4 linked regions of the Schizosaccharomyces pombe genome follow. Changing the gene in region 1 together with any one later gene gives a genetic interaction. Each region holds a gene or a part of one and is shown in the gene's direction. Other genes may lie near its edges.

The links.
Region 2: of ubr11 (region 1) and mal2, a mutation in one rescues a mutant of the other (synthetic rescue), as found in Schizosaccharomyces pombe (one study listed by BioGRID).
Region 3: of ubr11 (region 1) and ptr2, extra expression of one rescues a mutant of the other (dosage rescue), as found in Schizosaccharomyces pombe (one study listed by BioGRID).
Region 4: of ubr11 (region 1) and tup11, extra expression of one rescues a mutant of the other (dosage rescue), as found in Schizosaccharomyces pombe (one study listed by BioGRID).

What each region holds. Positions count from the first base shown.
Region 1 is NC_003424.3:3,699,029-3,709,075, forward strand, and holds the start of ubr11 (ubiquitin-protein ligase E3 Ubr11), read left to right. Parts: upstream 1-3,463; 5' UTR 3,464-3,766; coding exon 3,767-9,925; 3' UTR 9,926-10,047. Other genes in the region: mde6 (muskelin), read left to right, coding at 1-282, 331-510, 554-809.
Region 2 is NC_003424.3:4,182,313-4,188,666, forward strand, and holds mal2 (kinetochore protein mal2), read left to right. Parts: upstream 1-2,969; 5' UTR 2,970-3,210; coding exon 3,211-4,122; 3' UTR 4,123-4,199; coding exon of another isoform or gene 4,200-4,913; 3' UTR 4,914-5,104; downstream 5,105-6,354. Other genes in the region: wybutosine biosynthesis protein Tyw3, read right to left, coding at 4,200-4,913; pop100 (Rnase P/MRP subunit), read left to right, coding at 5,235-6,354. UniProt on the Schizosaccharomyces pombe protein: Component of the kinetochore, a multiprotein complex that assembles on centromeric DNA and attaches chromosomes to spindle microtubules, mediating chromosome segregation and sister chromatid segregation during meiosis and mitosis.
Region 3 is NC_003423.3:3,404,454-3,411,507, reverse strand, and holds ptr2 (PTR family peptide transporter), read left to right. Parts: upstream 1-3,148; 5' UTR 3,149-3,815; coding exon 3,816-5,672; 3' UTR 5,673-5,933; downstream 5,934-7,054. Other genes in the region: ptk1 (Fbl-like pantothenate kinase), read left to right, coding at 1-132; bbl1 (phosphatidate cytidylyltransferase), read right to left, coding at 6,358-7,054. UniProt on the Schizosaccharomyces pombe protein: Uptake of small peptides.
Region 4 is NC_003424.3:298,099-305,032, reverse strand, and holds tup11 (transcriptional corepressor Tup11), read left to right. Parts: upstream 1-3,236; 5' UTR 3,237-3,321; coding exon 3,322-3,445; intron 3,446-3,512; coding exon 3,513-3,597; intron 3,598-3,621; exon of another isoform or gene 3,622-3,769; coding exon 3,770-5,405; 3' UTR 5,406-5,755; downstream 5,756-6,934. Other genes in the region: protein pat10, read right to left, coding at 4-33, 78-114, 173-262, 302-359, 498-570; SPOM_SPAC18B11.09C (serine O-acetyltransferase activity), read right to left, coding at 1,014-1,181, 1,240-1,317, 1,393-1,699, 1,802-1,872; SPOM_SPAC18B11.11 (GTPase-activating protein), read left to right, coding at 6,247-6,934.

The sequences.
Region 1 (10,047 bases):
TCAAGAATTCATCTTAGACATGTGTTATATTAAGTTAGAAACAAGAGAAGCTGTGCAGCATGTTAGGAAAAACGATACATCCCAAAGTCCAAGTCCTTCATTTTGTCAAAGGAGTATTATGGATTCGAAAAACCATCGCATTTTCACTATGTTTGGTTTTGAACAGCGAAACATTCACAAAGTCCTTCGACCAAGTTTATGGATATTTTACATAACGACAGAGGAATGGGTTAAAATAAGTGATATTAATGAAGAAGAAGGAAATGAACATCCTTGTTCCAGGTATGTCTTTGGGAAAAAGGTAAATCATCTGACGCTTAATTTTAAAAGGTTTGGACACGCAGTCGCGGCTGATTTGAATAGAAACATTATATATTTAATGGGTGGAAATGCAAGTACGCATCCTTTGAGACCAATGAAGCTTTCAGATTTCTGGAAACTAGATATTCTAGATCGTTGGGGGATAAAGCATTGTCTATCTAATGTGTCTCTCCAGTTACACTTGCATCGGTATGTACTAAGTATCGACATCAATCAACTAATCATAATTTAGCTTTCATGAACTAGTCTCTGAAAATCTTGCTAAGGCAGTTGAGTACCTTCAAAAATCTATGCAGCCGCAATTTGACAAAAGTCCTTTATTTTGGAATGCGCTGATTTTGGATGCTTTTAGTGGAACGCATAAAAACAAAGATATTGCACAAAGAAGATTTGAAACTTTTCAGACAATATATGATTTATTACCGGTTGATGAAAATACTGTTGCACCGAATGAATCCCTCTTAAATATGATTGAATTTTTCACTTGAACCGGATTGAAGGGAATAAATCTTCCAGTCAACCAATTTACTACGCTAAATGTTGGTTTACGAAAATATCAGGCTCTCTGTCATTACCTGTAATTAGGTTGTGTTTCTTGATAATCAAATGTTAGCTGAATTTCTAGGATAATAAACTCTCATATAAATTTAGATAAAATGAAAGAATATATACCATGTGAATAGTCAAAAGTATACGAGTAAATAGCAATACCAATTCTTCTATAGTAATAGTGTATTAGACGCCAATATTATTATGATTATAATGCGAATTTCGCCTTTCCCTGATGCTACACGATACTAAATATTCACAAGAACAATAAATAATTTATTCATCTTTAACCAATTTAATCGCAATTTATTTATGTTGCATACAAAGGAATGAATATTCATCATGTTTGTTAATACCACACTTTCTTTTCGATTTTACCTATACCAATACTAAAATAGGCACGCGAATTCGAAAAAAAAAATATTCAAACTAAGTTATTTTACGTAGTTTTATTTAAATAGAAGGTATATGCGTATTTTATTTTTTTAAAAAAAAAAAAAAAAAAAAAAAAAGTTTATAATAGTAAATTTTTTTTTATGACACGTGCGAATACGATCTCCATAATACACTGAATACTACAAAAAAAAAGAACAGCTTCTTATCATTAAACAAATATATATATACAACTGCAAGTTTAATTGCTAAAAACGATTCGTACTTCCAAAAATAAATATTCATAAATAAATTGTACTCAAACTTCAATTATATATTATTATTCGTTGTTAAAACCGTTAAATAACATTAGGAATTACTGAAATGTCAGAAAGGGGTCATAGCTCAGTGGTTAGAGTGAGGGATTGCAGATCCCCAGGTCGCTGGTTCAAATCCGGCTGGTCCCTTTATTTTTACATTATCCTAGGTTTTTGAGGAAATAATTAAATTCAATATCCAAGGCTGATAAATCCATGTATAAATGCTGTTTGTTATTTATTCAATTTATACTACTGATGCGGCTTTGCGCATTTGCATTGTATGCATCTTTGCTTGCAACACTAAGTAGCGATTTCTCGCTTGGCTACATCTAACGTACGATTGATAATTTATTAGCAGAAGAAACTAGGGTAGTGTAACAACATACTCGAATGATAAAAGTCGTTTGATTAACCTTAATGACAAACGTTTAGCAGAGATATTCAAAGTTGGACAAAGTGTAGCAAGATAAAAGTAAGCGATAGCTGCACCTATTCAATTAAAAAAGCTTTGATTGTTGCACTATAAAGCGTAGTCATATAGTGGTCAATACCCTGAACCACTTTGTATGAGAAACTAGGTATTGGAAGCAGAAAATGAGGAGAACTCGGATATTAATACCTATTCCATTTTTGCTATGATTCAGTCAAGCTAATATGAACGACATTCATTTTCTGGCATTCATCATACTTTCAATATTGGTCTTGCCTTTACAATTTATTAAGTGATTTCTTTCCAGCTTGTATCTGGTATAATGTTGTCTTATTCTGTAAATCTCACTACCCGATCGCCATCTTTGTTCCAGAGAAAATAAAGTAACTGTATTATACTTGCTATTTTATGTTTCAATATTATACTACTTATGTGCTTAAGAAACACTTGACATTGTAAATATAAGAAAAGCACACTAACTTACCACTTTCTAAACAACATATTACATATTACTAATTCAAGAAAGCCGACAACAGTCGCAATGGTGTAGTTGGGAGCATGACAGACTGAAGATCTGTTGGTCATCGGTTCGATCCCGGTTTGTGACACTTTTTTCCTTTTTCCCTAAAGAAAGATCAGCAATAATTGTTGCTAAATTTATTTTAAACACACTAACTATTCCCGTCATGTGCCAACTTAATTAGTTGGAAAGAGTCGAATTTAGCCTCCGTGCTCGGCAACAATGTAAGAGCAATTGCTTTTATTTGCTAACAATACTGCTGGAAAACTAATGAAATTTAAATAAACTATTCCCATGAAGTAATATTTATTTCTTTAAGGTTATCTATTATTTTAAAGCCTTTTTCAACATTTAACCCATTTTTCAAGCCATCAACTTTTGGCCCTACTTAAAGTATTATAGTATAGTATAGTAAAATATAGTGTGCGCATGCTACTGTTTAACCTTGATATGATTTCCATGGGCCCGAAGTATTCAAGCGCTCATTAAAATCTACTATGCACTGCGATAACAATATTTACTTTGAAATCTTGGGGTGTTAGATAATTGAGAAGTTTGGGTAATTCAAACTCGATGGAAAATTATCACCCAAAGGAAAAAATTTTAATTAGATTAAAAAGGATAAATAGTTTAAGAATCTCGAGCTGGATTACTCTAGGGTGCATATCTCTTACTTTCCAACTCATATGATGGTGATTCCTATCTGGCAAAGGATGAAATCAAGCCCACTAGATCGAAACGAAAAAAAGCAATCAACACATATTAACACATATTAAGAAGAAGGAAATAGGAAATTGAATTGAAAGTAAATGGCTTTAAAGAGTTGACTACAGCTGATGAATTTATCAAGCTGGTGTCATTTTTTGGTATCTTCAATTGGCTACTGATACAAGAAAGGTGACGATGTTACCTGAAAGTAGTATAAATGGATTTTTGGCAATGGCAAGAAGTAACTCGCCATTTAGGTATACAAATCAGAAATATTAAGAAGGAACGGTTTATAGCTGCCAAAAATATTTTTAGAGAAATTTGTTTCAACAGAAAAGTTTAAAGAAGGTAAAGGAGGATTGGAGTTTGCTTTATTCAACTGAATGCTGTTTCAATTACTTCCCCAATTTTCTGTTGATGAAAATTTGTATATTCCGTGGCTTTAGCGTGCCTGTTGTTTATTAAATAGCTTTTTTAAACCAATTTAATTATTGAAGAAAACTTTGCGGCCCAAGATCTACTTCACAGAACCTTTCCTATAATTTCATGCAATTGCACGACCCGCCGGCTCCTCTTTCGCAACCATCGGCTTCTAGGTTACAAAAATACCTTCTAGAAAGCGCGGAAAAGCATGCATACGATTCAAATGAAGAATCAAAAACGCACTTGCTGCAAGAGGTTTTCCTGTCGTTGCTGAATTACAACGAAGACAATTGGAAATATTTTCTCAAAGAAAAGCCAGGTGCCATTACTTCTGACTTTCGTCTCTCGAGGCTTCAGCACTCTGAACCCGAATGCGCCCAAGAATTACAAGATAAACGTTCTGGGTCCAAGGTTTGTGGCCACGTATTTCGTGCCGGCGAGGTGATATATCGTTGCAAGAACTGTGGGCTAGATAACACATGTGTTCTTTGTGCTCCTTGCTTTCATGCCACAAACCACGAGGGTCACGAGACTCATGTATCTATTTCAACCTCTTATAGTGGAATCTGCGACTGTGGCGATCCTGAGGCATGGAATGTCGACCTTAACTGCAAGATACATAATGTCCCCGATGACGAGGAGCAGAAAAAGCCAGAAGAAGTGATCCCACTAGAACTTCAACACTCTATCCGTACAACTATTCATATTCTTCTTGACTTCATTCTCGATGTCTTTTCTTGTTCCCCCGTGAATCTTAAAGCTCAATCTACTGTCGGTAGCATCTTAGCAGATGAGGAGGCCTCTCGTCTTAGCAGCGCAAAGTATGGTGTAGCTGATAGGCCTTGCAACGTTTTCCGTGTAATGCTTTGGAACGACGAAGTGCATACCTTTGACGCTGTTGTAGGTAGTGTGCTTGAGGCGTTAGATTCGTCAAATACGGCTTTTGGACTTGAAGTCGCTCAACGTGTTGATTCTATTGGCCGCTTTGCTGTTGCTACATCGGCTTCAGTTCACGAAGCAATAAGAATCGCGAACGCTATTTCAAAAGAAAACTTAGCTGTTAATGTTCGTACTGCCCGCGATTTTTTTCGCGAAGATATTTGTGGTATTCTATTAGAATGGTTCGATGATCTTCTAGAATCACATGTTTGCTATTTTGCTGATTATTTACAAATTATCGTTTGCGATGAAATTTTGAAGAACTGGTCTCCTGGCCTTGAAAAACCTGCTAAGCCTGAGGTGAATTTTAATAACCTTCCTCTGGAGATTGTTAATGACGATGATAGCGAGGATGATATTTATGCCGCAGAAGAACTTCTCGATGTTATCGCAAACCTTCAAGATGAAACAGGTGTAACTAGAATTGCTAATTTGGGTGGTGATGAAGATTTTGAAGCGGATATGACCGATCCTACTATTGCAGGATTTGATCATCCACTTGATGATGATAACGACGTAAATGACCTTCTGGATTTTGAAACAGAACGAGAGGATATTGATGATTTAACTGATGAAGTTATGGAGACAGAAGAAAATGAAGCTGCTGAGGCTGATTATCCTGGTGTAAACCGAAACACTCGTCAAGACGATGTTCAAGATATTTCAATGGAAACCGAAAGTCAAAACGAAACTGATGAATCACAAAACACTGAAAATGTAGATTATAATCCTCAGACGCATACTCCTGTACCTATTCCCACTACTGCAACTCAGGATGTCGTTACTATTCGCCCGGAGTTTAACTCTCAACTCCTTAATAACCTTCGACAAATCATAAACGCTCGTCGTAGACCCCGCCCTGCTGCGGTTTGTCAAGTATCTCTTCGTGAGGATTATTGGAAAAGTCCTCATCCAATTCCTCCTTCGTCATATAGCTTCGTTGAATCTCCATCTTCCATTCTTCGTTTAGATTACTTTTTGCTGTTTGATCTCAAATTTTGGAAACGGTTAAGAGGGCTGCTCTCAAAATTGTATGTTGTTCCTTTTAATAGAAATCTTCTATTTAAGCGTCTTATGGGTATACGTTTCGTAATCCATTATAGGTCTCTCGCTACAGCGTTTCTTTTTGCAGATAGAGAGCCAGACCACTCTGTCATGTTTCTTTCCGTTCAATTTTTCACTACTCCTAGTCTTGCAGAAGCCGTTGTGAAAGACTATGATTTTTTAACTAATTTAAACGCAACAACTTTAAGCTTACTAACGCAGTCTAACCGGCCGTCAACCCTTTTTTCTTCAGACATTGAATACACTCCCACAATTCAGCTAAACCGACAAGTCTTAAAAACCCGAAGGACTTACAATTTGTTTAGTGATCTCGGATACTTACTTCAACATCCGCAAGTCAAAAAGCTTGTAGTGGATGATACGCGTTATGTTCATCAGTATATTGATTTGTTACGGGTGTTCCAAGGTGTGATTCCACAACAACGGGCAATACTCAGTCACGTACAGTGGGATTTTCCTCATGGGAAAAATATATTGTTTGTAATGCAAAGGGTAGCTATGCTCAGTAACACTGTTTCATCTTGTTTTACACAAGCACCATATGAACGGTTGTTTTATGCTATAAAATGTATCATAACTTCCATCACCCACCCTAAATTAGACATTGCAGAGTCTCTCGAACCTCTCTCTTGTATTCCCTCTTCATCTTTGACAAATTTTACACAGCCCTTAGTTCCGTTTTCCGTGTCGAGGGATCCTATAAGTTTTTATCATCCTCTTCACTGGATGCTTTCCAATTTATTTTCATATTGTCGTGTTGACGCTTCTTCTCATTGGGATAAGGATACACTACTTGCTCTTCTTGACCATCCTTTGAGGGTTTGTGTGCTTTTAGCTCAAATTGATTGTAACCTTTGGATAAGAAATGGGCGTAGTATTTTATTAACTGACGCTTTCTATCGTCAACTTAATAACATCGAAGTTTCTTATGATAAGGACATCCTCGCTATTCAAACAATATTAATGTTTGTTGATCCAAACTTGGTTTTAAATGCAGTTGTTCAAAGATTTGAATTTACTGATTGGCTTTATAATTTGACTTATAATGAACATCCCAATTACGACACGGAAAGAATACCAGCTATGTTGTGTAAAATGTTAGAGTTATTAATTGCCCTTATAACAGAGCGCGAACAAATTTTACATGTTGATATCCAAGATATTATTCGCACTCGATTAGCTCAACAGCTATGCTTTGGTCCTCTTGCTTATTCTGCATTGCTGTCTACTATTTCAAGTAATTTAGTAGAGAGTTTGTCATTTGATAAAATTCGAGAAGAAGTAACTTCCTACAAAGCACCTGACGGTCTCCACGATTTTGGCGTTTACAGTTTGAAGGACGAATATTATGATTTGGTGGATCCATATTATTTTCATTATAATAAAAATGAACGAGAGGAGTCAGATACTATCCTTAAAAAACGTTTGGCGAAGAAAAATAATGTAAGTGCTGAGTCGATTATAATAGAACCAAAAATTAGATTTCTTGAGAAGGACGGCCATGATATATTTTTTGCAGCCGTCAATGCGAGCACTTTTAGTCTTATCATTTTTCGTGCGATTGAGTATGCACTTGTTCAAGCGGAGTCCTTTGGATCATCCGATATTGGAAATACTATTCTGGGCGATGCACTTCAGTTGTGTCTAATCTCTATGAAAATTCATGAATTCTCGAAATCAAATGACTTCTGCTCCCGTTCATGCGCTGAGCGTTATCCGACTGATAGTAGTATTATGAGAGAATTTGGTGGCAGTGCGTACTGCTTAGCGGAACTTTGTTTTGCAATTCTCAAGTCTCCTAAATACAAAGATGTTCATGTAAAAGTTAATGCTGTATTGGCTGGCTTACAAAAGAATGATCCATCTGCATATAGCAACATGCTGGAAGCTACACACTTTGAACTCTCAACTACCTCTTCTACTTCGGATTCTAACGAGATTGAGAAAACGCAGGAAAAGAAAAGATTAGCTTTAGAGAAACAGAAGAAAATTATGCAGCAGTTTCGCGATCAGCAAGCATCTTTTCTTGCCCAAAATACCGATTTCGATATCGGAGAAGATCAAACGGAAGATGAAGTTACAACAGAAGAGCCAGAGGAGGAAGTTAAGTACCATGAACATATCCGTGGTAATTGTTTGCTTTGCCAAGAGGAATGCAACGATCAAGCACCATATGGAGTGATCGGCATTATTCAAGGAAGCTCATTACTTCGAAAAACAGATGTTCACAGCGAAATCATTTTGGATGAAATTTATAGTGTTCCCCCTAATTTAGATAGGGAATCTCATTCGAGGCCATTTGGAAAAAAATATGATACAGTTGTTTTCAACCGTTCAAAAGATCGTTTATTAAGTGCTTATCCCCCAGGAAATAACATAAGAGGTGTTTTTGTCTCCGGTTGTGGTCATCTCATGCATTTAGGTTGTTTTAAAAACTATTACGTTGCTAGGTCCATGTATAGAAATGATGTTACCGCTGGGTTAAGTGAATACTATTACAAGTATTCTACTGCTAAATTTTTTATGTGTCCTCTCTGTAGGTCATTGTCGAATGTGTTATTGCCTATGCCTCAGATCCCCAAAATGTGTCTCAACATTGACACCCTTAATTTCCCTCGTAGCATGAATGGTTGGTTAGAGGAAATCGGTACTATGTCTTCCTCGAGCTTTGAATATCAATTAGTTCGAAGTTCTCTGTCCGACACGAAAGATACTTTTAGAAGCTGTTTCCTGAGACCTTGGATAAACAGCAAAATTATCTCGGCAATGCTTGCTCGCTTAAAGATAGCCGATGGTGCATTAATTGATCAAAGTAATAATCGGGACGTATCCGACCTTTATGATCGATATTGTGAAACAACAAAATTGGCTATGAAATTGGTTAAAGGAAGTACATTTACGAATGTTTCACCTCATGATTTACTGAACAGTTTGGCCTATACCGTTTCTTCTCTAGAAGTTAGTCAGAGGTGCTCTCCGAAACAAAGTGGAGCAACTCGATCGGTGTGGTTCAATGAACTGGGACCCCTAACATTATCGTTTTTGCCGACTTTATCTGATACCGTTTTGAAGTGTGTTTGTGATCAGATCATAAAATCTGACCAACAAGCCCTCTTGTTAATGGAGAGCCAAAAACTGTTAGTTTGTAAAATTTTCTATCGTCACTCGCAATTAAAGTCCATGTTGAGAAATGGCCGGATGTCTGACCATGATCAAATTCAACCGTTTTTGCTTTCAAATACTTTCGATGACTTTGTGAAAATTTCATCTTTAATGCTAATCTTTGGTAAACAAGATAATATTTTGTATTACGTTAAGCTTTTCTATCTTTCAGAAATTTGCAAGACAATAATTTCTATGATAAAAGTGGTTGCAGATTCATCGGTCGTTCCTGATTTAACCATTAATTATAGTCAGCAATCCAAGTCCCAATTTTATATTCTATGCAAGAATGTACTGCTTTGGTGTGGTTCTTCAAATAACATTGAAATTTTGGATGATGAGTCTAATTTACTTCGTTTAATGTCTTTGGTGGAGAAGTATTCTTTACCGTTTCTCCGACGAGTTGCTTTGGTATTATATTGCATGTTTGACATTTCACTCGAGTTCAATGAATTCTCCAACAATGAAGATGACAGTGAATTAGAAAGGCTTTCCAAATTAATAAAAGTTCCTCCTTTACAAGAACTGTATTCTCAAATGTCTTCTGATGAAAATAATCAGATTTTGGAATTAATCGCTGGCTGGTGTGAACACTTAGCTCAAAATACATGGGGTGATAGTACTATATCTTTGGAATATCCTGGCATATATGAGCTTGTCAAATTACCTCACAGGCTAGAAAATTTAATTGATTCGATGCAAGAATCAGTTTGCTGTATGTGCCATAAAACTCCAATCCTTCCTGCAATTTGTATGTTATGTGGCAGTGTCATCTGTTTTAATGCTCGACAGAATACGGTTTCCAGTAGGAGACTAACTGGGGAATGCAACAAGCATGCCGCTACGTGCACCGGTAGTGTCGGCATCTTTTTCATCACCAAAGCATGTGGGATTTTGTTGTTAGACTCGATCAGTAATACAGGCACTATCATGCCCACTCCGTACTTAGATATTCATGGTGAAACCGATTTGCAGCTTAGACGTGGTTGTCCTCAATTTTTGAATCAAAAACGTTATGATTTTGTTGTCCGTGAACAATGGCTGCGCCAAACGGTCTTACAAAAAATGGCTCGTCATATGGATATGACGGAAATGCAAAACTGGCGAATGGCTTAAGAAAAAACGATTTATTAATTGTCTAATGCTAATTTATATTACACAGTCACCGACGTCTATGATAATATCACACTAGAGTTATTTTTATTTGAAACATTAATGTAAAGAAACTGAAAGAATAG
Region 2 (6,354 bases), 480 kb from region 1:
ATATACCGTATTAGATAAACCCAGCGGATTGAAGAGATAAGAAAAAAAATTTTTTTATTTGCAAGGAAAGAACCAAACAATTCCAATCACGAGGCAATAAATTCTGAGCTTTCAATTAAGAAACCTCAACAATATAATTAAAAAGAAGAAGAAACGGAAAATATTAATAATCTGTTCCTTTAACGAAAAAAAAAAATTTCGATATAACAATGATTGTCCAATAGGGGAAAAACTTGTTCACTCACAAATTACTAAGAATGAAAAAAAATCAAATTGACCTTTTCGCAATCAGAAAAAAAAACACAAACAAATAGATGTGATAATGAATAGATAGAAATTAGGATGGAAAAAGGCACGCACTATTAAAGATGTATTAAAATCTAAAGTGCTTACAAAACCAAAGTAAAGTTTATAAAATTATTATAACAATAAATTTGACAACTTTTTTTATCCTGTTTATGTAAAACAACAAGAAAAGTAAATATGAAAAATTATAATAGCAAGTCTCAAGATTGTAAAAGACTTCAAGTGCTTTCTTTTCCTGTTTTAAATATAATTGGTATGAAAAGTCAGCAATAACTCGTCCAAAGAAATATTAATGGATCGTTATATTCAGACGATGCAGACTGCAACCAGTTTCATAAAATAAAATAAAAAATTAAAAATAATACTTTAGCAAGTTTTCAAACTGCTTAAGTGAGTTCTGTAAACAGAGGCTTGTAGGCAAAACCCTTCTTTATATAAAATCGTTATCTGGTCAACCTGTCCTTATCTCGTCTCTATATCGTTGCTTTTTCATCACCCTCGGTCCTTATCTGCATAGAGCGAATTGAAGGTGCGAGATATCCAATCATCACACGGTGGTGATGGTGCATATATGATAAGGTGCAGTAGGGGGGCCTAGTGCAGCCGAACTCGCTGTAAGGATTGGCAAGGGTAAGGAGGATACAATGAAGGAGGACTGTAAAGGGAAGAGCTTTCAGTCGTAAATTTACAGAAAAAATCTAGTTAGGAGAGAAGGAATTCGCCTTTGAATATGATACTTCGAATGGGAAAGATGAATGGCATAAATATGGCGGAATTTTCATCCTAATACAGCCTCGTTACTTCTCTTTAAACCCATTTAATGAATCGCTGAATATTGCCTAATACTAAGCTTGTGATCGGGCGGTTTCACTGTAAGGTGATTGGAACGTGGCATGGACTATGATAGTGAAACCCTGGCCTATCGTAAGTGGGGGGAGTGGGGGACTCCCCGATGCATTGATAAGTGTGACCCAAAAAAACAAGCGCTAATTCAATGCGCTAAAATACGATAAAGGTGCATAGTGACACGCGTTAGATCATGGTATATGAGTAGCAATATTGTAGCAGAGGAATAATAGGGTTGGTAGTAAACGAGTATATACAGTGTTTATAAACCGAAAGTCGAATAGTAGGAAAAATAGCAGTGATGAGAGTCGAAAGACGAACATCAATAATTTTTGTTTCTGTTTGACTTTTGATCGTTGTTTATGGACTTTTCCGTTTTTCAGTCAGCAGTGGTAATTTGTGTTTACACTCGTATGCCTTGTATGCCCAGAACTAAAGCTCATCTAAGCAATCCCTACTATAGAAGAGAAAAATAAATAAATAAAATAAATAATAATAAAAAAAAAATCTACCTTACTTCATTCAAATTTATTTCATTGGGTTTTATTTTCTTTTTAGTAATCACTTTAACTCACCGCTATTTTGGAAATTGTAGATTTTTTATTGAATATCGCCGATTTTTAGTGTTTTACAAACTGTAAGCCCAATGTCGCTTGAACCCAGTTTTACAGTCTGGATGAATTGATTTTCTTTGTATTACAAAGACTTTTCTATTAAATTTTCATTTTCTCAATTGTATCAAAGACATGACAGCAAAAATCAACTCGACACTATGAAATATACTATATAACAATTGCCTGTTTTATAGATGCCAAACTGATTTTATAAAAAAGAATGTAAAAGAAAATAAATGAACTAAAAAAAATTTAGTTTTCTACAAAAAAGCAAAAAGCCTACAGCACCCCGGATTCCCATGTTGTCTCCAACCATAGTACTAACGAGGCCCTCAGACGCTTAACTGCAGTGATCGGACGGGAACTGGTGTTTTCGCCTAGGTATGGCCGTAGACATTTGCTTCATTAATTTAAACTATATATACTGTAATTAAAGAATGTAATTTATCATGTTTGTTCTAGCTCATTGTAAACAAATACCACTTAAAAGTTCACATTATATTATTTAACATTGAATAATACATTCTCCCTTTGCATTCATTTAACACAAACTTGGCTTTTGTCAAATCAAAACCCCATGTACATTCAACGATCCTTAAAACTGCTACAATGTATAGCACTTGCGCGCTCATAATCTAATATTAAATATACAATTTTGTTGCTTTCTTAATGCAATATGAATGTTTTAAGGGATTGTACGTGAAGAGCTTTAATAAAAGAATTGTTAATAGGGATGCACTAATTGGTGAGTTATAAAATGTAATGATTTTAAAATCATTTATATAAGAAGGAAAACTACCTTCATTTTTTTTCTTTACTAATTTATTTTTCTTTTTTTTTAATGTCATTTTGTTAAATGTCATTATTTTTTCTTCAAAATAATTCTCATTTCCTGGATTATGTCAATTTAATTCTATATATTTTATAAGTTAAATTTCTTTGTTCTTGTAAATAACCATTCTGTTTTCTTTCCTAGATTTTAATTTTAATTTTTTTTTTTAAACTGGCGATTTAATTATCTTCAATTTTATATAGTTATATACAACTTGTCCGACTTTGCTTTCTATACATTTCTTTGTTATTGTAACTCATTAAGAAAATATTTAATTTACATATTATCAAACAGTTAAAAATATTGCATAATTTTTCGTTTCGTTGCAAATAGATTTGCAATCTTCATTTTTTCCTATCCATTACATCTTCAAACCTACCAATCTCTAATTTTGATCTAATTACAAATCTCGTCTAAAATACTATTCCAGTTCGAAACTCTGAAATGCTACAGTGATTAAATTATAAAAGCTGCTGTGTATTTCGACGCTTTGACATACGTGGACGAGTCTAAGCGTAACTGAATTTCTATGCTTGGTTCATGTTATCAATAAGGCCCTAAGAAACTGTTGAAACTACAGTTTTTTTAGTTCCATGAATTTTTTTTGCTGCCATGGACGATGAAGAAGGCAATGCGACACTCATCGATGAAATTTCCGTCCTTGAAGCCAGAAGGGATGTATTGCTTGATGAATTAAAGTCTTTAGATAATGCGACACTGTCCGATCTCGTTCAGAAGCCCGAGTTGTCCAAAAATTTATCTGTAAACAATGAATTTCTGAAAGAGACTCCGTTAAATCAACCTGCACTGCATTATGATCGACTTTCTGGTATTTCCTTTTTCCAACCCAATGATCCTGAGGAGTTATCTAGAAAGACCCTTCTCGTAAAAAATAAAAAGACAGGAGCCATTGAGACTGCTCCTTCTATACCGCTTCTTGGTGTCCGGTTCGATATCATGTTGAATCCAGTAAATATAGGCTTTACGAATCTCTCAGAGAATCCAATATCTTCCGCCTCTGGCATGGACGAAGAACTAGAAGGTGGAAATAGATTTGATGTTCCCTATTATATAATTTTTCGAGTATTTCACGACTCGTTTGCTTTATATAAATATACGATTCCAAGCTTTCTGAACATACAAGAATGGGCTGACGAGTATTTGACTGGAAAGAACCCTGAAAGGTTTAGAATATTTTTGTGGAAAGTAGATAAATTATTGACCGCATATATCTGTCGTAAAAACGCACTTTTACAAATCAATAAGTCTTTGACAATTGATGGGACAAACATATCTGCCAATCTTTCTTGTACACATCTTGTCATTCAAATTCCGAAAGTCATTCAAGCTACCCTTGTTTGCTCTTCAGAATCCACTAGAGTGGTCAAATCAAGGATATATCAGTATTCTGATGAAAACTGGAAAAGAGATCACAGACTTGAACTATCTTTATTAGACAACAAACGTTGGGTTAATATACTTGTATCACACCTAACTGCTCCAGAAAGTCATGCTTCGTTATGATTGTTTATTACCATACTCTTATTATTATTAGACAGGGACTATCTTTTTATACAAAAAACTTTATACTTGTTAGTTATTTACGATTGCACCAAATAATCGTCCATATTCCTTAATTTCCGCCTTGGTTTCATCCTTTTCTCTACCTGTCTCTCCAGTTGCTCTTTCAGTCTAGCCATTCGATTTCCATTTTCAGTAAAATACTCAACGCTTCTCTTGAAAAGGAAGCACATGTATTCACGAGTAATGTAAAACTGAAGCTTTTCGGATGCTGTAAGACATCCTATAGGAATATCCATTCGTAAACTTGTTCTAATAGCCACAATAAACTTCTGCTCACTACCTTGAATTCCTGTTTCCCGAAAACCGCAGCTTGCTGCTACTCTTTGCAAATGCTGAGCATTCGCTAAACTTCTCGTTTGAACATGCAGAATCATGGGTTCAAAAGCGTATTGTATTTCCCGATTTCCTTCTACCGGAGAACTGGGAACCTTTCCGTATTCCACTTTTTCATCTTCTAAAACCGGTGGTAGTTCTTCATGTGCCTGATGACTAACGAAAAGCCAGTATCCACCTCCTTTTCTGGAATTTGCTCCTTGTACATAGACTGAAATTCTTCCTGAACATGAACTAGTTGTTACCCAATCCGGGTGGGAGTTTATAACATCTAGCAATGGAAATATTGGGCTATCTGGGTGTCCTTTGGGTGATGCATCAGGTACGGAGGATTTCAAGCCTTCTAAGATTTCTTTTTTTTGAGCATCAAATGATACATCTATTCCTTTTATATTCATTCAAATTGTTCTTCAAGGAACTCCTTGCAACGACTTAATTCAACTCGTTGGTGGATTCTTACAACTTTTCAACTTGCGTTGTCAACTTGCCAAATCAAGCACCTACATTTTTTTTTCTAAATTCAAAACAATATTTGCAGATTCGTTTGCTCAAACCTAATAAATAAAAGAAATCAAATAGAAAAAATCATTTTTATGGTATTTTCGTACGCGCTTGAGTAATTTATCAATCCATGCAACAAACAAGTTCCACTGTATAATATTAACTTCCTAATTAAGGCTGCTACAAAAACCGTCCCCCACTTTATCTAATTTTATGAAATGAAGCGTTCAACTGGAGGAACGCAACCAAAGGGACTAAACGTCAAAAGGTCAAAGCTCGCTGATGCTAGATTCATAGAGGTTGAATCACCTGCCCTTTCAAATGGTGCTGTAGACTTAAAAAAATTCATTGAATCAAGGAGTTTTGAAATAACGGCTTTACAAGATGCTATGAAAAGATCAAAAGAATCCAGCGCTCAGCGTGCTTTCCAAGCTCTTCCTCGATGTTTACGAAGAAGAGCAGCTTCTCATAATATAAAAAGGATACCTAAAGGTTTAAGGGATAGAGCTTTATATGAAATGCAACTCAGTTCCTCATCTACTTTGCCCATTGCACCTTCCAGACAACGGTTAAAGAGATTCATCAAACGCTTGCGAAGAAAGTTAGCTAAATCAGGTGAAACCAAAGCAATTGACAGTACGGGAAGCTTGGTTACAGACAATTCTACAGATGATTCGCGAATTCCGTCCTTGGCTGCCGTCAAGTTAATACGTGGAAAATTTGCTGGTCGTCAACTTCGGAAGGTATGGCTTCCCACTCATTTATGGGTATGCAAACGCGCACACATGATAAATGCTTGGGGATATGCCATTCCCGAAAAACCGACTGAGAAATCCTATCGTCCTACCCATCGAGCAGCTTTTCGGAAAGATGCAATTGCATTCGACATGTCTTATGAACCATTGTTTTGCATTAGCGGGCCATACGAAGCTCTCAAAGAAAAGTTTGGAAATTCTTTTGCAAACGGACTGCCTCCTGTATTTCTGAATTCTTCTAGATCATTTACATCTTACCTCGTGAAGTCTGACATACACGAGCTCATATGCCCTTGTTTTCTACAATGGAATAACCCTACAGAAGATGACAAAAAACAGATCCCTGTAAAAAATCCTACCGAATGTGTGCAGTTAGTTATACGTTTACATCCATCTGCATTTCTACAAGCATGGAATTACTTATCTGGTATAGCTGTTTTGGATGATCGCATTGCTATGCACGATTGGCGACTAGATCTAGCATCTTTTGATATTCACGGACCCGATAGCAACATTATGCTCCACAAAGTATTTGACGACGTTGAATTAGATGAAGCAGGAAAAGTTTGGCAGTCGATTTCCA
Region 3 (7,054 bases), on another chromosome or scaffold:
ATTCAGTATTGGAGCAACCATACCATGAATGCATATTTTTTAAGACATGAAGGCTACTTGGGGGTGTTTGGAGCGTTCATGAAGTATGCGACCTCTCAGCCCAGCAACGTTCCTGTTCCCTCAATATCGTAGAGCTTCAATGAATAGCAGCACATAATGACTAGAACAAACAAAATAACTTTTGATAAATAAAAAAGGTACGACAGGTCACGCTATAACTAGTAAACAACCATTAAGTTACACGTTATTACATTATTAAAGTATTCCGTAAGAGATGGACTCTATATCTGATCTGAGGATGTCCGTCCGTCATTCTCGCCTACACGGACACGAGACATTTCAATGATATGATAGTAAGATAGGATGGATAGAGAAGGAAAGAAGAAGTCGGAAGAGACAGAGCAAGGGGTTAAGCAAATTTGCCCAACACAATACGCGGTCGTTGGAGTTTATCTATAGATTTAACGAATGTTCGATAAAAACAAGGGTCGGAATAAAAAATGACGAGAAGAGAAAATTAAGTGATATGACATTTTATCAACGGAAATAGGAAATACATATGGGTGATATGCAGGTACCCGAATATCAAAGAAGGAAACAGTAACCTATGTTTGAAAGAAGACAATTCGTAAATGAAACCCTTCCTTACTTATCATTAAACTAGCGATACTTGTTGGACTTCATAATGCGCGTCTCTATAGACGTTTGTTACTTTAAAAAATCTATTAGCAGAAGGATCAATTGATAAGACGAGAACGACTTGATGTTAAGTAGGCGCAAAGAAAACAAGCATTATGGACGGCTCAATGAAATAAATAATTAACATGCAAAAAATATAGAAAAATGCAATGTTCAGTTTATAGCACTTAGTAACAAGTGTTGCGAATTTTTTCCAACTAGTAGGTAAACATGCATTGTTAACTCTATGAAAACACTGGAAACATTGGTTCCGTGAAACTTTCGACGGAATCAAAGGGGGAAAAGGTTTTTAACGTGAAAAGTATAGTTCAAATTACATGACGAAGAGGTGTGGTAGATAAGTTTTAGAGAGCGAAAAAAAAAAAAAAAAACCAAAAAACCAAAAAGAGGTCAAATTTTTTTTTTCCTTTTCTCTCCTCTCTCCTTTTCAATTGATAAGGAATGGGCATAGAAACAAAAAGCAATTTGTTTAAAAGTTCATAAATTCAAAGGAGAAACATCTGCCAAAGTAGTATCAACTTGTGCACCGACGACGAGATAGAAAAGTCAAGTCAGAATCAGCAATGCTAGAAGCATAGATATCGATGTGACATTGCATACTCCTTCGTTATTGGGGATTTATTTACTAATGCTATCAAACTCAAGTTTCTTCAAAGTTATCATGAACTTACTATAAGAAATCTGATTCTGTGATAGAAGATATCGTTTGGAATTTAGGGTATACTATCTGTTGCTAATTTGCATACTTTTTGAAGTCTTGTGCCTCGCCTTACACAACCATCTCGTTTGCTTGACGGAGGGTAGGGTATCGCTGCATAACGAGTTGGACCATTTCTTACTAGGCTTTCCCGATACTTTCAGCAATCTTGCAGCATTATGGTTTCATTTGGCAAAATGAGGGAAAATGGGTGCGAAAAATTGCTCATACACCAACAAGTCCGTTTTGGAGTGTGATATGTTCATTTCCGTGACAGTTATACCCACTACTATTAATGCTATCACTATTCTTCCTTTCTTACTTTACTTTACCTTACCTACTTGTTGTCGTCCCTCATCATCTTTGCGACAATTCATGTGGGGGTAGGCGAACTAGTCGCTTTTACTATCTCTGCCACCCACGATGTTTACCGGGTTCGAGGTTCTTAAAGAGAAGACCTTGTTTCCTCGTGCACACACCGTGCTACAGCAGACCACTCACCATTCGCATACATAGTTTTACCTTGGTGAATCGCCAGCGCTAATCGCGGAATACCCGGGGAAGGAAACAAGAGAGAAGAGACACGCGAACGTGGTGTAAAGGCCGATGTCGAGAAGAAGGAATGAATTCAACGGTTAAATAAATAAATAAAAACAACAATGTAACACTCATCAAACGATTACATAAATTTAATAAATATGCAAAGTATTAAGAATCTAACAAATATGTAATTATTATTAATGAGCAAACTACAAGTAAGCAATGAATACAACTCAACCCTCAAACCTCTAAAATTATTGAAAAACTTCGTTCACCTGTATGTCGTCGTGAGAGAATAAGAAACGTAGAGGATGTGTTTGTAAATAACAATATGTATGACAATACATAGACAGTCATCTCTTTTCTACCTTTTCCCTCATCCTCATCCATACTCATATAGTAACACTTATACCTTTTACTCTCACTTTCACATATACTAACTATATTGTCTCACATTCTTTCTATACCTCTCCTCACTCTCATTCTCACTCCTGTAGTGAAACTTCTATTTTTGGCACTATAACGTGCTACTCGTTTTTTCCATATGCTCTGCACGTTGTGCTCTTGACCATTTAATTCCATGCACCCCACTTGGTACCCAATTTCATCCCCACTTTTTCGGTCAAGTACGACTTTCCACTTCAACCATGCGATGTGGTGGCACAAAAGTCCTAAATGGAGGTACACGAGTTTTTTCTATCGTTAAGCAAAAACACGCAACTGAACAAGTGCGCAATCCTTCCGCATGATAGTGGAGTAGATGAAAAAAACGGCATCACACGAAGAAATCCAAGCTTATCTATTTCCAGCGGATTTACCAATTTTCACCCCTTTTTCCAACAGGTCACACGTTGTGCGATATGGTTACTCCTCGTGCATTTTTAATCAAATAGATATTCCGCACTAACGTTTTTGTCCGAAATAACATTTGATTTATCCAATCAACCATCAAACCCACCTTTCACGCATTGACCTTAATTATTAAAAATGTGCAGTCTAGACCGGTCCTCCCTCTTTTTTGATTTATCTGTAGGGAAGATAATAAACTTTTTCATACCACGTTTCCTACATTTACGATTTGTCTATCGCCTATCGTGCTTTGCTCACCGTCATTGATAAAGGCGTGCATGAACACGTGGTGACTGCTAAATCAGTGTGGACAAATTTCATTTTCAGCAGTATTTATACTTGAAAATTATCCCCTCAAAAGACATCCTTCGTCGTGCCGTCTAGTCTGTGTTTTAGAAGTAAGAGAAATTCAAAAACCTTGAGTGGAAACTCCTCATCGTTCGTATAATTAATCGTTTGACCTCTTTTGTTTGGAGTTGTGACTTTCTCCACACTTTCACATACATACACTTTTAATTTCCAAGTATTTATTTAATACATTAAGGAAAAATTTTTTCATTCTAAAAATTTTTCTTTTTTTATTATTATTGTCATAAATACTTATTTGTTGTTGTGTATATTTAATCTTGTTTTAAATACCCTTTCTCACTCTCACTCACTTTCATATTTCTTACTCTTAGTTGAGTTAGTCGGCCTTCGATACACATATAAAAGTGTTTATTTTAACTTTTTTGTGAATTCACTTGTCAATTTTGTGTAATTAGTTTGACTAATTATTATTATTATTATTTTTGATCTATTCTTTTTTTTATCTTTTGTACTACAATTGTTTTTTAATCTTTCGCTTGTTTACGTTATTTTTCTCTTCCTCTTTTTTTTTTTTTAATATTCGCCTCTTTTGTTTTCTCGTTTCATTGTAATTATTTTATACCCAAAAATTGTTCTTGAAACTTCTGTTCATTCTCTTTTTTATTATTATTTTTGATTTTCATACGATCGATTTCCTACATTCAATTTACCTGTGTTTACAATGAGTAGCATTGAAGAACAAATTACGAAATCGGACTCCGATTTCATCATTTCAGAAGATCAATCCTACTTAAGCAAGGAGAAAAAGGCTGATGGTTCTGCCACCATCAACACCGCTGACGAACAATCCTCCACCGATGAACTCCAAAAATCCATGTCCACCGGCGTCCTCGTCAATGGTGACTTATACCCTTCTCCTACCGAAGAAGAATTAGCCACCCTTCCTCGTGTTTGCGGTACTATTCCTTGGAAAGCCTTTATTATCATTATTGTCGAGCTTTGCGAACGTTTCGCTTACTATGGTCTCACTGTTCCCTTTCAAAATTATATGCAATTCGGTCCTAAGGATGCTACTCCAGGTGCCCTTAATTTAGGCGAAAGCGGTGCTGACGGTCTTTCTAATTTCTTCACATTTTGGTGTTATGTCACCCCGGTTGGCGCTGCACTTATTGCTGATCAATTCCTTGGTAGGTACAATACCATTGTTTGCTCTGCTGTCATTTACTTTATTGGTATCTTGATTCTTACATGTACTGCTATTCCTTCTGTCATTGATGCCGGAAAAAGTATGGGTGGGTTTGTCGTCTCTTTGATCATCATTGGTCTTGGAACCGGTGGTATCAAATCCAATGTTTCCCCCTTGATGGCTGAACAGCTTCCAAAAATTCCTCCTTATGTAAAGACCAAGAAAAATGGTAGCAAGGTCATTGTTGACCCCGTCGTCACCACCTCTCGTGCCTATATGATTTTCTACTGGTCAATTAACGTCGGTTCTCTCTCCGTATTAGCCACCACTAGTTTGGAAAGTACTAAAGGTTTTGTTTACGCATACTTGCTTCCCTTGTGCGTCTTTGTTATCCCCTTAATTATTTTGGCTGTTAGTAAGCGCTTTTACAAGCACACTCCTCCCTCCGGTTCCATCTTTGTTCGTGTTGGTCAAGTGTTCTTCCTTGCTGCTCAAAACAAATTTAATCTCGAAAAAACTAAACCATCTTGCACTACTACTGTTGGACGCGTTACGCTCAAGGATCAGTGGGATGACTTGTTTATCGACGAATTGAAACGTGCCTTACGCGCCTGCAAAACTTTTCTCTTTTACCCTATCTATTGGGTATGCTATGGTCAAATGACCAACAACTTAATTTCTCAAGCTGGACAAATGCAAACGGGTAATGTCTCTAACGATCTTTTCCAAGCCTTCGATTCAATCGCCTTGATTATTTTCATTCCCATTTGTGACAATATCATCTATCCATTATTGCGTAAGTATAACATCCCTTTCAAACCCATCCTTCGTATTACTTTAGGGTTTATGTTTGCTACTGCTTCCATGATTTACGCTGCTGTTTTACAAGCAAAGATTTATCAAAGAGGCCCTTGCTATGCAAATTTTACTGATACATGTGTTTCCAATGACATCAGTGTTTGGATCCAAATCCCTGCTTACGTTTTGATTGCTTTCTCTGAAATTTTTGCCAGTATTACTGGTTTAGAATTTGCATTTACCAAGGCCCCTCCTTCAATGAAATCCATTATTACTGCTTTGTTCTTGTTCACCAATGCATTCGGTGCCATTCTATCTATTTGCATTTCTTCTACTGCTGTCAATCCTAAGCTTACTTGGATGTACACTGGTATTGCCGTCACTGCCTTTATTGCTGGTATTATGTTTTGGGTTTGCTTCCACCACTATGATGCTATGGAAGATGAACAAAATCAACTTGAGTTCAAGCGTAATGATGCGTTAACGAAGAAGGACGTTGAAAAGGAAGTTCATGATAGTTATAGCATGGCAGATGAGTCCCAATACAATTTGGAAAAAGCAACTGCTGAAGAGGAAATCATGAAAAGCACATAATACTTAATTTAACTTAATTCGTATTTGCGGGATGCCAATTTTTCTTTTCTTTTTTTTTTTACAAAATTTCCCAAAAAATTGGGGTTTGCATGTTTTGTTTCCATCTTTTTTTTTGTTATGATGCCGTTGTTCTACTGATGCTCCTTATTTAAATGCAGTAGTACTTATCCACTCTCAGAAAATAGAGTTTTACAGTGGGTCTATATACCAGAATTTACTACAGTGTGATTTAATGAAAATATATATTGCTGTGCATAATTTAAAATATTAAAGAAAGTATCAAATATGTTGAAAATAAGAAATTCTTTAGCGGTAAACAAAACTGTATGTGTTGAGACAAGAAACTGTTTTTTAGTAGAACCGACGTGAGATTAGTCCAATAATCAACTTTTCTAAGCGTTTGCGAATTAAGCTAGCTCACTTAACCAACCTGATGACAAAAGTTTTTGATGAAAACTAATTCGGAAAATGTCAAACAAAATTTTTAAGGTGAAAAACTGAAAATTATATAAAGCAAACGAACGACTAGATCTAGTTTGGAGTTGACTAAAAATTAGACATGGGATATCAAAACTTCCAAGCAATAACGAATGACTAACAAACGGAAGTCAAACTATACATGACAACGCATTTAATAATATAAAAGACTGGCTAGTAAACAAATACGAGGATAACAAAGTGTAAGCTATTTTGAGTTTTGAAGAAGTTTGGAACAAATAGCTTGAACACTAGTTTTGCCATGACTGATGAGATAGTTTTGTAAATCTTCAACAAGTTGCACTTGCTGAGTGGTCGTGAGGCTATAAACTGCTGTATCCAATAAATCAGCAACAGATGTACTCTTTTCTGCAATAAATGATTGGAAATACATATAAACGAAGACTCCATTTAAAAACTGGCAATCCATTCTGTCAGTTAAACCACCATGCCCCGGGATGGAAGCTCCAAAATCCTTAATTTTAAAAGCACGCTTAAGACCACTAGCAAAGAATCCTCCGAAAGGGGCAATTAAACTCGAAAAGGTAGCGAAGATAGCCAAATGGAAATATATAGGAGCAAGAGTAATTGTTTCAGGAAGTCTAAAGGTATCGACAAAAACAGCTGGAATAGTATAAGTGTGAGGAAGAAATACAGAATTTGGAGTGCAATTGAGACCACTGAAAGCAGAAGTAGATAAGTCACGAGTGGGACAGATAAAATATTTGAAGTGCATTAAAACATAGCTGATAAGAGAACCAATAACTACAGTACAAATCCATCCTCCTAAAAAACCTTCGACAGTCTTCTTGGGGGAAACTTGAATAAGCGGATGCTTGCCAAACATCTTACCACACAAATACGCGAAAACATCGTTGCATACAACGTAGCAAACAGGGACAAAG
Region 4 (6,934 bases), 3.4 Mb from region 1:
TTACTAAGTTTTGTTTGGAGTATTTAAAAATTGCTGCACAAGTTAATCGACAAAGTAAATATAAAAATTCAACTTACCGGTAAATATGTTGACACAAGAGCCGCGATACCCATACTGATCAAATGTTAACATCCATAGAACTACATTAATGCAATGAATTAGGATTACTTACAAAGCCATTGAAGTCGGAGATGAGCTGGGAGACGTATTTGCGTTCAGTAAATTTGAAAAGGTTAGGATAAAAGCAACCCATGCAATTAATCTTCTCGTTAACATGAAAATCCTAAAATATCTTACATACTTGAAACGAAGAAATAAAGCAGCCATACACGTGGCTGTGCTTACCAAACTCAAGCCAACTATAATAGGGTTAGCAAACTTAATAAATTATTTGACGAAAGAAAGGATTTAAAATATTCCACAATGAACTAAAGCTTGAGCGATTAAATCAGCGTAACTCACGATTGGGTTCAATTTGAAAGTGCTTTCTACTTTACCTTCTTCATTTGCTTTGACTCTAGCTTTGTAGGGAACGATTAAATCAGGTCGTTTAAGTTCTGCAGGCGCCATATTTTATGAATTTTCGTTGTCGAGACTTCAGAACTGGTGAATGGGATGGTTCCTCTACAAGAATATAATGAAGTTAGTAATAAAATGTGTAAAATGGTTTTAGGTTAGGTTATTTAGCATTCAAATATATCGTGGGGGTTAAGAGTTCTTATCCCACTAAGAATTTCAACTATTTTAGACTTGGCTAAGCATTAGAATTAAAATCGATTGCAGTACCACGTGGGGGCTTTAGCAAGTCATAGGAGGAAACTGATCCTACTTGGCGAGTGAGAAATGGATTTCTTTTAGCATTCTAAGTCTTCTATATAACAATTTAAAGCTCAAACATAATATAATATTATTTATACTATTTTAAAAATTTAGGAACCAAGCCAGGTGAACTTAAGAAGTTCAAAGAGCATTTAATCGTTAGATGAAATAATAAAAAAAAAAATTACACTCGTTCACTCGTTTTCAATTTTACGAATAGGTTTGGCAGGTGATCCTACAGCCAACGTATTAGGTGGGATGTCTTTTGTAACAACAGCACCCGCTCCAATTACACTGCCTTCCCCGATAGTAACACCTGGGAGAACTATAACTCCCATACCAATCCAAACATTGTCCTGAATCTTGATAAAATTTTGTTTGTTAGTTGTAAGATGTTTCAATAACTGGACTAACGCATACGTTAATTGGTAAACCAAATTCAATTCCGGAGTTCCTTGCTTTAAAATCCAAGGGATGTGTTGCTGTACATAGTTGAACCTGGAAAGACACCATTAGTATATTTATTTTTTGAATGAATGACTTGAAAGTAACTATATATATATATAAACATACATTGGGGCCTAGCATTACATTATTACCAATAGTAATTATGGCAACATCTAGAAATGTACAATTATAATTTGCAAAGAATTTTTTTCCAAAATGAACGTTAAATCCGTAATCAAAAGCCATAGGTGGCTCAATCTCTGGTGCTGAAGATTCGTCAAATACAAAAACTTCAGCCAACAGTTCAGCTCGTCTTTTAATCAATTCTGCTGGGCCTACATTTTCCAAATCTCCCATAGTGTCATTAAACCTTCGCATTAATTTTTTAGCATTACATCTCGCTTGAGTCAACTCCTCGTCGTAAGCCTTGTACCTGTTATTTAGTAATTAGAATATCTCCCTGCGTTCAATGTGACTTCAAACATGTCAACGAAGATGATATATTAGCTCGACAAGTTTTAAGCATTAGCCTTACGGTTGACCAGATATCATTTTTTGGTATTCAATGGTTTTCGGTATCATTTTTTGTACACGAGTACGAGTCATTTCTGTCGGAAAACAAGTATATTCACTAGCATTGACAATGGGACTAGTAGAGTTATCGATGTATAAATAGACTTATATATATATATATATATGTATTGATATCAATATTAACAAATTGCTGATAAAACTATACGGAAACTTTTTAGTGAAATAGTTTGTAAAACGTAAGTAAAAACATCTCGATGATATATAGCGTCAGCTGTTACACTACATTATGCCCCACTATGCAACATATCATTAATTGTCGCATTGCTTTATGTCTGGCCCCTACTCGTATTACCACCAGCATACCAAAATTTATCAAGTTACAAGTAAATAGTTAGTGTAGCTTAACAAACGCTGAGGGCCGTAAACTGACAAGCAATAACAAGATATGCAATGAACGTTGTCCGTCCCTTTTTTAATCTTGCTTTCCTCCTGTATCATTAAACTGATTAAACTGGGTAGTAATCCCAAACTAATGTCATATAAAAAAAAAATTCAAAACAACTTAAATAGTACATCAAACAAAAATTGATAAGTAAATAAGCAATAAATATGATTTAAAAATAAATCCAAAGTGTATTTATTAATCGCCCTTGAAGTGTAAATGGCATATCGTGTCAGATTAAATGCTCAATTTCTGACGGCTTCGGTTTGCTGCGCTTAAACATTTTGCTTTAGTGTTAATAAATTTCAACTATGGGATTTTTTCATCCTTCTTCATGATAACTAGATTATATGAAAAAAGCATCTTTAAGACAACCAACAATGTTTTAATATCAGTAAAGTGCGTCAAATTTCGCATCATTAAACAAATAATGTCACTTATGATTAACTGAGTCATTAGCAAATGAAATGTGAATTTACGGGTTAAATACTATCATAACTTTTAATTAATACTTATCAAGATAAAACTCACTGTAATAATGTCTTACAAAGGTCGGTAAACAATCTAATTAAACAAGGATCAGATAATAAATTGATTAAACACAAATTTTAATTTTTTTATATTGATATATAAAAACGGTTAACAAATTTTTCCATCAATAAAAAAAAAATGAATTACACTACGTTTCAAAGTTATAACTATTTTTTTATAACAAACATCAACTGAAAAGCAAGAAAATCTATATTCAAAAAAATAATATAAACGCTACAAAAAATCAAACAGTAAAGGGTTTCGAATTGCTTTTCTCTATAATTCAAATGAATTTCAAAATAATTGGGACAAGTTGCCAACACACACGCCATACTAATTTTGTGATACTTGCTCAACCAAAAATATGTAGCACCACATTCTCTATTTAAAGATTAGCGCAGCACAAGGAGCCGCTCGATAAAAGTGCTGCTACAAACGTTCAAGAACACAAGTTTATTCTTGTACCACAATTCAAGTGTTGCTATTGTTGTAAAAGGGCGTATATCAATCGGATTCAGTTTTTGCAATAAGTCTGACTGAAAAAAAAAATGGCGTCAGTGGAGGATGCCACGAAAGTTCAAGAAATGCTGGATGCGTTGAAGGCTGAATACAATGCTTTGGCTCATCATAGCTTCGCGTCCAAGGCGCGCGGAAACGACTATGAATCTTCTAGTACGTGTTTGAATAAAATAAATTAAATTAGCTATTTTTTGGAAACTAACATTCTGTTCTATTGCAGTGATACAATCTCAAATTCAAGAAATTGAAGCGTTCCGAAAAACCGTGGATGATATGTATGAAAAACAAAAATCTATTAGAGAAACGTAAGTTTTTATATGTTAAAGGTATCGAGGGATTATATAGTATCTACTTCTTTTCTGTGAAATTCATCATTATTTTATAATAGCATACGTGTCGCTCGAGATTTATATGCTTGAAGTAAAAAAAAAAAAACCTTTATAACATCTGTCTTCACCAATTTACTAACATTTATAGGTACGAAAAAGATATCAACAAGTTGAAGCGAGAGCTTGAAGAATTAGGTGTCGAAGCGAATACCGCAAGTTATAGAAATCGTGGAGAAAGATCTGAACTTGCCGCTTCTAATAATCAAGTTACCCATATTGATCAGGAACATCCCTCTCAAACCAAATCTACTTCTCAGCCTCCAAGTAACCATCTACCTGCCTTTCAGCAAATCCCTCCAATTCACCAATCAGCTTATCCTCAAAATAATGTTGCTGAAGTATTGATGCCTCCAATTCCTCCTTCAGTAGAGGCTTCTAGCGGGCAAAATTTTAATCAGGGAATTGCTTCTCAAAATCCCGCGATATCTACATCCAATTTACCTAGTACTACACCTTTATATATCCCTCCTGTTAATTACGGAGCAAATCAGGTTTCTCAACAACCAAATCCTCAATTGCCTGGTGTTTCCAATTATTATAATCCAAGTGCTACTTCAAAACCTGCTGTGAATGTCCAGCCACCGCGTATTCCTACCAAAGCAACTCCTTCGGCTGAACCTTCTATGACTGCTTCTGCGAATGCTGGTTCTATATCCCAAGCGGGTCCTGATGGAGAATATCAGGGAAGAGAACAGATTGCTCCAGTTTCAGATACAGAAGCTGCTAGAAAGACAACTTCTCAGAGTTGGTACGTCACTTATAACCCAGCATGCAAAAGGGTTTTTAATATTAATCTCGTGCACACACTAGAGCATCCCAGTGTTGTTTGCTGCGTTAAGTTTAGTAACAATGGCAAGTATTTAGCAACTGGCTGTAACCAGGCCGCTAATGTCTTTGATGTTCAGACTGGCAAAAAACTTTTTACTTTGCATGAAGAATCACCTGATCCTTCCCGTGATTTGTATGTGAGAACCATTGCTTTCAGCCCTGATGGTAAGTATTTAGTCACGGGAACAGAAGATCGTCAAATAAAACTCTGGGATCTCTCAACTCAAAAAGTTCGTTACGTATTTTCAGGTCATGAACAAGATATCTATTCCTTAGATTTTAGCCATAATGGGCGATTCATCGTCTCTGGTAGTGGCGATCGAACTGCACGACTCTGGGATGTGGAGACAGGTCAATGTATTTTAAAGTTAGAAATTGAGAATGGTGTGACGGCAATAGCCATCTCTCCAAATGATCAATTCATTGCAGTTGGTAGTCTAGATCAGATAATTCGAGTATGGTCTGTGTCGGGTACTTTGGTTGAACGATTGGAAGGTCATAAGGAGAGTGTTTATTCTATTGCCTTTTCGCCCGACAGCAGCATTCTTCTTAGTGGAAGTCTTGATAAGACTATCAAAGTCTGGGAATTACAAGCAACTCGTTCAGTTGGCCTTTCAGCTATTAAGCCTGAAGGTATTTGCAAAGCCACCTATACAGGACATACTGATTTTGTTCTTTCAGTAGCTGTTTCACCCGACAGCCGTTGGGGATTAAGCGGATCGAAGGATAGAAGTATGCAATTCTGGGATTTGCAAACAGGCCAATCTTATCTCACTTGTCAAGGACACAAGAATTCAGTTATTTCCGTATGCTTTAGCCCAGATGGTAGGCAATTTGCTTCGGGAAGTGGTGATTTACGTGCTCGCATATGGTCAATTGACCCTGCATCTCCTTGAATTTTTGTTCCTGTTTACATATAACTATTTGCTCTCGGAAATAGTTAACCGCATTGATTTTTGGTTACAAAGTTTACAAACTAAATTTTGTAAACTCTATTACTACACTGGTATATTTCCTTAATTTGTATCATATTTTTTTTGCAATATTATTTCCTTTACTTACGGTCACAATAGACAAATCATCACTCAGTTTTTTAATGTCACTAATTTTGGAGAATGGCTTCTCTCATAAATTAACTGAGACACTTTTTATTTAAAAAATAAACAATTAATAAAAAATTCCTTAATTTTTAATTTTAGTTCTATGATAAATGTTGCATAACTTGAGATAATACTTAATACTTTTCAATGTAGATTCTTGAAATACATGTGGTTGATTAAACATTTTTTAAATGGTTATTCTTGTATTTAGTAATTTGCATATCTCCACCTTGACTCCGAAATTCACCAACAGATTTATCATATACTCGCTAAAATTATGTATGTATTAACCATCTTCTGACTTCTTCAACGCGAAGAAGACTCATTGTTTCGATTTTATTGACTAAAACATAGAAATTGAATAAATCCTAATCGATGCTATATTGAGGTGTGCTTTTACAATCCGTTACAGTTCGATATCTGCACGTTTCTTAAGGCTATCTTTTCAGGAGTTTATAATAATCCTCCACGGCTTAAGCAGTCTATAATTTGGGTTTACTTCATTAAATCTTTAATTTAGCACTTTTTAAATATATTTAAAATCTTAATACTTAAATCGGTGCCAACCCAGGACCTATATTACGTTTGGGTTAAAGAAAAATTGTCGTTGTTTGCTGCATCGATTTATATCTAAGCTATGAAGGCTTTGGATATAGACACGATTCTCACCCAAATATCGAATCAACAGTCATTGGATAAACGCTACAAACGCATAAAAAGGCTCATCAACAATGAGCAGTTTTGTAAAAATGTAATCCTACAAAAACTTGTTGATTCCACTAAAGACATTATTGAAAATAAAGTTCACGGAAACATACTGGCAGCCACTATTTCCTTATGGACTCATGCAGCTGAAAAGCATAAAGAAATGTCTTCCGATGACCGTGCACTATTATTCAACGAGCTGTCAAAGGTTCCGAATTCTGAATACTATCCTGCTACTGTAGACGCCTTGATTGTTATTACATCCCAAGGCGAAAGAACTGAGTCTTTTTCAAATGACATACTTAAAGTTTTGTCTGAATGGTTGACTGATTTATTTACGATTATTGATGATATGCGAGCTCAGTCGAGAAAATCCTTCAAAGGAAGTGCTGAATTGAGAAATTACACCCGTTGTTTTCGTCAGATAATTCTCTTGCTTACGAATATGTTCAGGGTGGGCTTTAATTTATTTGATGAAATGGAGGTTTCTTCTATGCTAGCGAATTGTGTGTGGGTCTCAAAAAGCACCACCGATGAAGAAGACATTGCATTAGTTTTTTCGTTATTAAATTGTATTATATCCTATGGTCGCATATCTTCCGCTGTTTTGTATTCTATTG